2 linked regions of the Drosophila melanogaster genome follow. The gene in region 1 interacts genetically with each later gene. Each region holds a gene or a part of one and is shown in the gene's direction. Other genes may lie near its edges.

What was found.
Region 2: of Hsp26 (region 1) and Nmnat, changing one suppresses a phenotype caused by changing the other (phenotypic suppression), as found in Drosophila melanogaster (one study listed by BioGRID).

What each region holds. Positions count from the first base shown.
Region 1 is NT_037436.4:9,375,868-9,379,154, reverse strand, and holds Hsp26 (heat shock protein 26), read left to right. Parts: upstream 1-1,727; 5' UTR 1,728-1,966; coding exon 1,967-2,593; 3' UTR 2,594-2,737; downstream 2,738-3,287. Other genes in the region: Hsp67Ba (heat shock gene 67Ba), read left to right, coding at 1-1,053; CG4461 (uncharacterized protein), read right to left, coding at 3,069-3,287.
Region 2 is NT_033777.3:24,943,528-24,947,935, forward strand, and holds Nmnat (nicotinamide mononucleotide adenylyltransferase), read left to right. Parts: upstream 1-1,709; 5' UTR 1,710-1,730; coding exon 1,731-1,926; intron 1,927-1,998; coding exon 1,999-2,405; intron 2,406-2,456; coding exon 2,457-2,558; intron 2,559-2,616; coding exon 2,617-2,768; intron 2,769-2,948; coding exon of another isoform or gene 2,949-2,985; exon of another isoform or gene 2,986-3,306; intron 3,307-3,356; coding exon 3,357-3,627; intron 3,628-3,735; coding exon 3,736-3,777; 3' UTR 3,778-3,873; downstream 3,874-4,408. Other genes in the region: ssh (slingshot), read right to left, coding at 63-122; mah (mahogany), read left to right, coding at 4,105-4,408. UniProt on the Drosophila melanogaster protein: Catalyzes the formation of NAD(+) from nicotinamide mononucleotide (NMN) and ATP. Essential for viability.

The sequences.
Region 1 (3,287 bases):
TTGGGCGATAAGGGCACGTCCGGGGCAAGCGGCAGCACCAGTGGCCAACCGGCGGCCAGCAAATCCGCCTACTCCGTGGTGAATAGGAACGGCTTCCAGGTGAGCATGAATGTGAAGCAGTTCGCCGCCAACGAACTGACCGTCAAGACCATCGATAACTGCATCGTGGTCGAGGGTCAGCACGACGAGAAGGAGGATGGCCACGGGGTGATCTCGCGCCACTTCATCCGCAAGTACATCCTGCCCAAGGGCTATGATCCCAACGAGGTGCACTCGACCCTCTCCTCGGACGGCATTCTGACGGTGAAGGCGCCGCCACCACTTCCAGTCGTCAAAGGCAGCCTGGAACGACAGGAGCGCATCGTAGACATCCAGCAGATATCGCAGCAGCAGAAGGATAAGGATGCGCAGCCGCCAAAGCCGTCAGAGGTAGAGCAGCAGGCGGCAGCTAGTGCCACCACTTCCACTTTAAATCCGACTGCACCCACACCCACTCCTTCGCTCTCGCTCACTCTCGCCGAGAGCAACGGCAACGGTCAGGAAGAGACAGAGATGGAAATGCCGGCTGTTTCGCCCCCCATTTCCAATGAGGCTGCTGCTGCCGCTGCTGTTGCAGTGGAAGCCCCTTCCACCGCAGGAACCACTTCCAGTGCCAACAATGGCGTTGCAGAACCAGAATCAGAGTCCATGGAAGTGGCGTTGGCCAAAAACGAAGAGACTGCCAATGTGGATGAACCCACACCCAATCCCGTTATAAGCATCGAAGAGGAGCAAAAGGCAGAGGATGCAAATGCCAACGAAGTGCCCGTTGCCTCGAATAACGGCAATGGAGCAGTCGCAGCAGCCGAGGATGTGGAAATGCCGCTGGCCAAGAAACCGGAAATCTCCACGGAAGACAGCAAAGAGGAGCAGGCGGAGAAGGTTGATAAAGTAGAGAAAGTGGAGGAGAAGGGCGGCGAGGAACTGGCAGCCGTAGATGCGGCCATTCTACTGGCCAAAAACCAAGGCGAAAATGGAGCCACTGCAGCCAAAACCGAGGAACTGGCCAAGTGAAGACTGAACTAAAAGAAAGAACATAAATAGTAATTAAGAACAAATAATAATCTGCACGGGTAGGCGTGCGTTTTATTCCATACGTGTTTCTTGTGTTTTCTTTTCTTGCATTTCACACAAAAAAAAAGAAGCGAGAAAGCTGACGGGAAAAGCACTCAATTACTAATAGTGGGAGATTGCTGGCGTTATATGTATGTATGATTTTCTAAAAAACATATGTGACAACAACTACAAGTATTCCAGTAAAACTTAAAGACAGAAACACGAAATAATGTACTTAATAAAGAGGAAAACCAGAATAAAAAAAACTGACGTTTTGTTTTGTTTGCCGTTAGCCGGCTGTTTCTTTTGCGCTCTTTCTAGAAAATTGCAACAACTCTCTAGAAACTTCGGCTCTCTCACTCATACAGGCGCACTAGCTCTGCTTTTGCGCGTACGACAACAACTACATTTAAAATTTCTCGAAACTCATGGCATTTATTGGGAAAGGTTAGTTAGTTTTATTTTTTGTTTTTAGAGCAGCATTCAATTTAGACTTTTATAAAAGAAATTTCTAATTTGATCCCTCGTTTATCAAACGATACAAAGCTATATTCATAATTTTTTCTCTCTGTGCACGTTCTCTCTCTTCTCTTCTCTCTCTCTACTCTTTCCTTTTTCTGTCACTTTCCGGACTCTTCTAGAAAAGCTCCAGCGGGTATAAAAGCAGCGTCGCTTGACGAACAGAGCACAGATCGAATTCAAAAATCGAGCAGTGAACAACTCAAAGCAACTTTGCGCAAAAGCAAAACTTCAAACGAGAAAAAAAAGGATTAAAAACCTTTGCTTACAAGTCAAACAAGTTCATTCAACTTAACCAAAGAAAAAATATTTCAATCTCGCAAAAGGAACATAACCTAAAGGAAACGTAAAAATGTCGCTATCTACTCTGCTTTCGCTTGTGGATGAACTCCAGGAGCCCCGCAGCCCCATCTACGAGCTTGGACTGGGATTGCATCCGCATTCCCGCTACGTGCTGCCCCTTGGCACTCAGCAGCGCCGTTCCATCAACGGATGCCCTTGCGCATCGCCGATATGCCCATCGTCGCCCGCCGGCCAGGTTTTGGCTTTGCGGCGCGAGATGGCCAACCGCAACGACATTCACTGGCCGGCAACCGCCCATGTGGGCAAGGATGGATTCCAGGTGTGCATGGACGTCGCCCAGTTCAAGCCCAGTGAGCTCAACGTGAAGGTGGTGGACGACTCCATCTTGGTCGAGGGCAAGCATGAGGAACGCCAGGACGACCATGGTCACATCATGCGCCACTTTGTGCGCCGCTACAAGGTTCCCGATGGCTACAAGGCGGAGCAAGTGGTCTCGCAGCTGTCGTCGGATGGCGTGCTCACCGTCAGTATTCCCAAGCCGCAGGCCGTCGAGGACAAGTCCAAGGAGCGCATCATTCAAATTCAGCAAGTGGGACCCGCTCACCTCAACGTTAAGGCAAATGAAAGCGAGGTGAAGGGCAAGGAGAACGGAGCACCCAACGGCAAGGACAAGTAAAGGAGCCATCATCATCCAACATCATCCATCATCATTCCCCTACTTAATTGTTCCTAATTTATTGCATTGTATTTGTAATGAGCTAAAGACTAGAATACTCATATTAATTTAATAAATCCTTTTGTTCACCTGGTGTGGAAAATTAAAATTGTTGTGACTTTTGTATATGAAAGTTGGTTTTTGAAAGAGGCAAATATTTGGAAATATCGATTTGAAGATTTGAATTGGGCGCGACGAGGTGAAGACCCATTCGTAAACACCAGTGTTTCTACCAAATATTTATTGCGCATTTATTATATCAACTACGGGTACAATTTGTATTTTATTTATGTTTGAATCCAATTTAAATGTTCGGCTGCAATTGCTTGGTGTCCGAAAATAGTTCACCTTGAGTTAGGCGCATTCGATGGTTGGGATTTGGGTTTGGTAAAAACACATTCACTGTTTGCCTTCCTGATTTTTGACACATGGTCCACTATTTCCAGGGCAGGGCCAGCTTTCCGGTTTCATGAACGCGGACCAATCTCTCTCCGGGCGTGTAGTACTTGGCTGGCGGCGGTGGTGGAGCCTTGATGGTGAGGATGCCATCGCTGGATATGTCCGAGATTACCTCATTGGCATTGTATCCGCGGGGCAGAAGGTACTTCCTCACAAAGTGCCGCTCCACCAGGCCATTGGAACCCTCGTCGCGACG
Region 2 (4,408 bases), on another chromosome or scaffold:
TTATAGAGAAAGGAAAGTTGTTTACTCGGTGTTTAAGAATACCTTATCCTGCTGCACCTCACCCGTGGGGTTAGGCTAAATATAAGGATGTCGTCTGGCAAAGAACAAACTTGCATGCTCATTATTTTGCAAAGGGGTAAGATAAACTCCTGATTATAGTCTACACTTCAAGGGCGGAAAAGAAGCAAAGCTGTATCTGCAGTTCCAAGAAATCTGATTGTTCAACTGAATACCGTCTGATTTTGAGAAAAGGGTCACAAGTTCGAAAAAGATTCCGGTTTAGTGAAGTATTTTTTTTTTTTTTATATTTTCTGATTTCTTAGAAATAATAAAATGTTAATTTATGTGTTCAAAAATACCGATTTGACATATTGAGCATATCTGAATTAAAACGTTTTGTAAAATTAAATTGATCAACCCCCGATATTAATTTTTCCCTCTGTGCAGGCGGACGTCAAGGTCTCGCGAACTATTTTTGGGCGGTGGGGCGGCGAAGAAAACAAAAACAAGCGGTAAGCGGAAAGCGACAAAAACGACAAATAAGGCAATGCAAAAGTCTGTTGAAAAATATAGACGTCGCGACGTCTGCGGATTTGCTTGGGTTACACCAAAAGCAGCGCAGCGCAGCACAGCCGATGACGATGATGACGCTGCCTCATACCGCCCACACGCGAACGTTGAACGTCGAAATCCAAAAAGCGTAAGCAACAAGCTGGCGGATGATAAACATTGGGCATGAAAAGCACATCCGAGCACACAAAGGATCATGGCCAAAAGCGGAACACGCACTAAAGAGCCTGCCCGTAATTGGCTCTCCTGGCAGAGTGGGGGTGACCAAAACAAAGCACACACGCATACGCACACGCGAAAACCATCAAGTCTCCTCTCACCGAATTCGAGCAGGAGCCCGCCACACTGGGAGAGCGCTGCACCGTCACCAGCGCCATTTGTTGTTGCCGTGGTCGTGGACGTCGTCGTCGTCGCCGCAGCCGCTCCTCCACCTCCTGCTCCTCCTCCCCCGCCGACGCCTCTTGACCCTCGTGTTCCACCTGGCGCAGATGATGGCGATGCTGCAGCGGTGTCCCTTGCAATCCTCTCCTGCTTCGGCTCCTTCTGCTCCACCTCCTTTTCCCTGTGTGTGAGTGTGCGCGAGAGTGTGTGGTGTGTGTGCAAGTGTTGTGGGCTAAGGCTACAAATGCATTTTCATATCGCTGCCTGCTGGCCGTTGTTTTTGCAGTCGGCTCCGCGACCTCGTCCTGCGATCGTCTTGGTTTCCGCTTTCCGGACACTCTAGCCAGGCGGTTCTCTCTAAGAAACAGCGTGTCCTTACAATTAACGGACACACACAACGCTGCTAAATGGTAAATAGACTACACGAATTTTTCTTAAAAGAAAGACAGTGAGGACGCCATTTCTAATCGATAACACTAGTATCGTCAGGCAATCGTTCTGGCAGGGCTGGCTAACTATCGCAAGCGAAAGCAATGTTCGTGTGGTACACCGAAAAAAGTACTTATTAATGAGAAACGCAGTGATGTTTGTATACTTCTTGATATATCAGTAAAACAGGCTTTAATACATTTTTATGTACTCTTGCCTTTTTGATGATTAAAAATCAAAAAATTAAGTTACATTAAGTTATCATTTATCGAATAACAAGTCAAAGGTAGTCAGAGGTGGTAGCCACTGCACAGCTGTTTAGTGTTGGAAAATAACAACAAGCCGAACAGATGATTGTGAAAATCAGCTGGCCCAAGAACAACATAACAAGCGAATGCTTCCGGCGGTTTGGATCTTTTAAAAGACGCTCAAAATCGAAGAAAATGTCAGCATTCATCGAGGAAACAAAAAGCCTGCTGCCGCGGATCGCCTTCATAGCCTGCGGATGCTTCAGTCCACCCACACCCATGCACCTTCGGATGTTCGGTGAGTTAAACTAGATTGTGAAATTCTGCGGTACATAATCGATAAAATTACGCGGCATGTTTTTGTCAACAGAGATAGCCAAGGACCACTTCGAAATGCAGGGAACCCACAGAGTGGTAGGTGGCATCATCTCGCCCACGCACGACTCATATGGCAAAAAGGGTCTGGCCTCCGCCTTGGACAGATGTGCCATGGTCAAGCTGGCCACCCAGAGCTCCAATTGGATTCGGTTGTCCGATTGGGAGGTGCACCAGAATCAGTGGATGCGCACGCAGGCGGTGCTCCAGCACCACCAGAACTATATCAATAACCACATAAATTCCGGCGGGGGAGGCGGAGATGACGGGGAGAACACACATCTACCCGGATGGCTGCCTCGTGGGTTGCACGACAGTCGGGATCCTGTACATCTGAAGCTACTGTGCGGTGCCGATCTGCTGGAGTCCTTTGCTGTTCCAGGCCTATGGGCAGAGGCCGATGTAAGTCTTGATATATTTGAATAGTACCTTTTTTTATATGATTGTTCCCAGATTGAGGACATTGTGGCTAACCATGGTTTGGTAGTTATCACCCGGGCCGGCTCAAACCCAGGAAAATTCATCTTTGACTCCGACATATTGACCAAGTATCAGGTTAGAGAGACAGTACCTCGACAACATTATTTCTTATTCATTTCCATTCACATTTCAGAGCAACATTACGCTAATCACCAACTGGGTGCCTAATGAGGTGAGCTCCACGTTGATTCGGCGGCTCTTAGGACGCGGCCAGTCGGTCAAGTACCTTCTAGACGATCTGGTGCTGGAGTACATCAAGCGCCAACGATTGTTTAACTTTAAATCGTAGGTGGTCTTCCTGTTACCTCCCCTTAATCCTGCATGTTCACTTACAATTACCCATCTTTCAAACGATACGTACACTGAATGAGGCGCCACCTTAATCCATTTCACACAGCAGAGAACACACTTAACGTGCACCACCAGCAGTCTTTGTATTGTTTCCTTTTATGTCTTAAACTGCAGGCGGGATGCACCGGCTCCGACCGAATGCGACTCTTGACGCGCTTTGCACGTGAAAAAGAAGCCCTCGTCGCCCACACGCTTTCCAACCCACCAGCACCGCAAATCGCACCACTTGCCCCACCAGCACCATAAGCTGTTTGAGCCGTGGCGCCTCTTCATGGAGCGTGAGTGAGCAGAGCAGATCCGAGTTCAAGTTCCTATTTAGCAGTGATTCCTTTAATGCATGTTTATTTTTGCCCAATCTTAGCCCTTGTAAATACCCTTGTTAAATTAGCCATAGTTTTGCGGTGGTCAGTGTGCGTATCATCTACTTACACCGAATTGTTGCCAAAATGTAGTCCCATTAAACAATAACCTTAACTTTGTTGCTATTGTACTGACCATGCCCGCCTAACCCATGGAATGTAGTAAGTATATAACGGATGCGGTGCGTCCCAACCATTTGCTCTTTAACCACGCCTATACGGACAACAACAAGAACGCGAACAGCTACTCTATAGGCGACCAGCTGGAGCAGGACATGGACGAGTCGGACACTCCAAGCCCGCAACTGCAGCATACGCCTACGTCGCGGGTTTTCTGCTGCGGGGAGGTGCCTTTACGTGGATCCAAGGTGCTGCGATCCGGTCCTGGACAAGCGGTGCAGGTCATCACCATGCAGGCAGATGAGAAAGAGGAGGTGGGTATCCTTAACCGCTGTATCCATTGCATTTCATACATAGATGGAATCCAGAGTTTTGCTTTCAAACTTATGTTTAGATCCTTCTAATCAATTCCCCTCTTTCAGAGCCAAGCAAAGAAGCAGAAGATTTCCCAAGTGCAACTTTAGGAAACTGGAAGACGAATCTCACGCGGATTAAGACAGGGGCGCTGGAAGCTATTTGTTGATATTATATAAATATGCAAAATAAACACGTTCGTTACCAAGTTGACGGCTGCCCATGCTTTTGTGGGTCACTTCACGGAGTGGAGGGACAAGGCATTGAACTTCAGGCGACGTGCATTGACATTGCAGTCGTTGCAGGGCTTCGCTTTGGTGTCTGATGTCAGAACTTGTTGATGGTAATATGCCAGTTGCAGGCGAGAGTGGCCACCATTAGTTTAAGCTTAGAGGGACTGCAGTTGCTTGCTTCCCTTGGAAGAGTCCACATCGCGAATGTTCTTCTTCCGTCGCCAGAATGCTAAACCCGCGCCACGCCCTTCGCGCGCTCCGTCCTTTGCGCTTCCAAAGCGTCGGCCTCCTGTCCAGCTAACGCCCTCGCATCAGCACGACCAGTTGCCCTTCCTGCGAAGATCGCGGTTCAGCGCCCTTCCCCATTTCCGCGCCTACGAGGACGAACCGGAGAACCTTTCGCTTTTCATCGCCATCCTGTACGTGGTGGATTTGTTTGGCATCTTCCCATTTGTCACGCTGCCGGCATTGCTGGTGAAACTTGGATACTTTGGCATCCTGTTGGTGC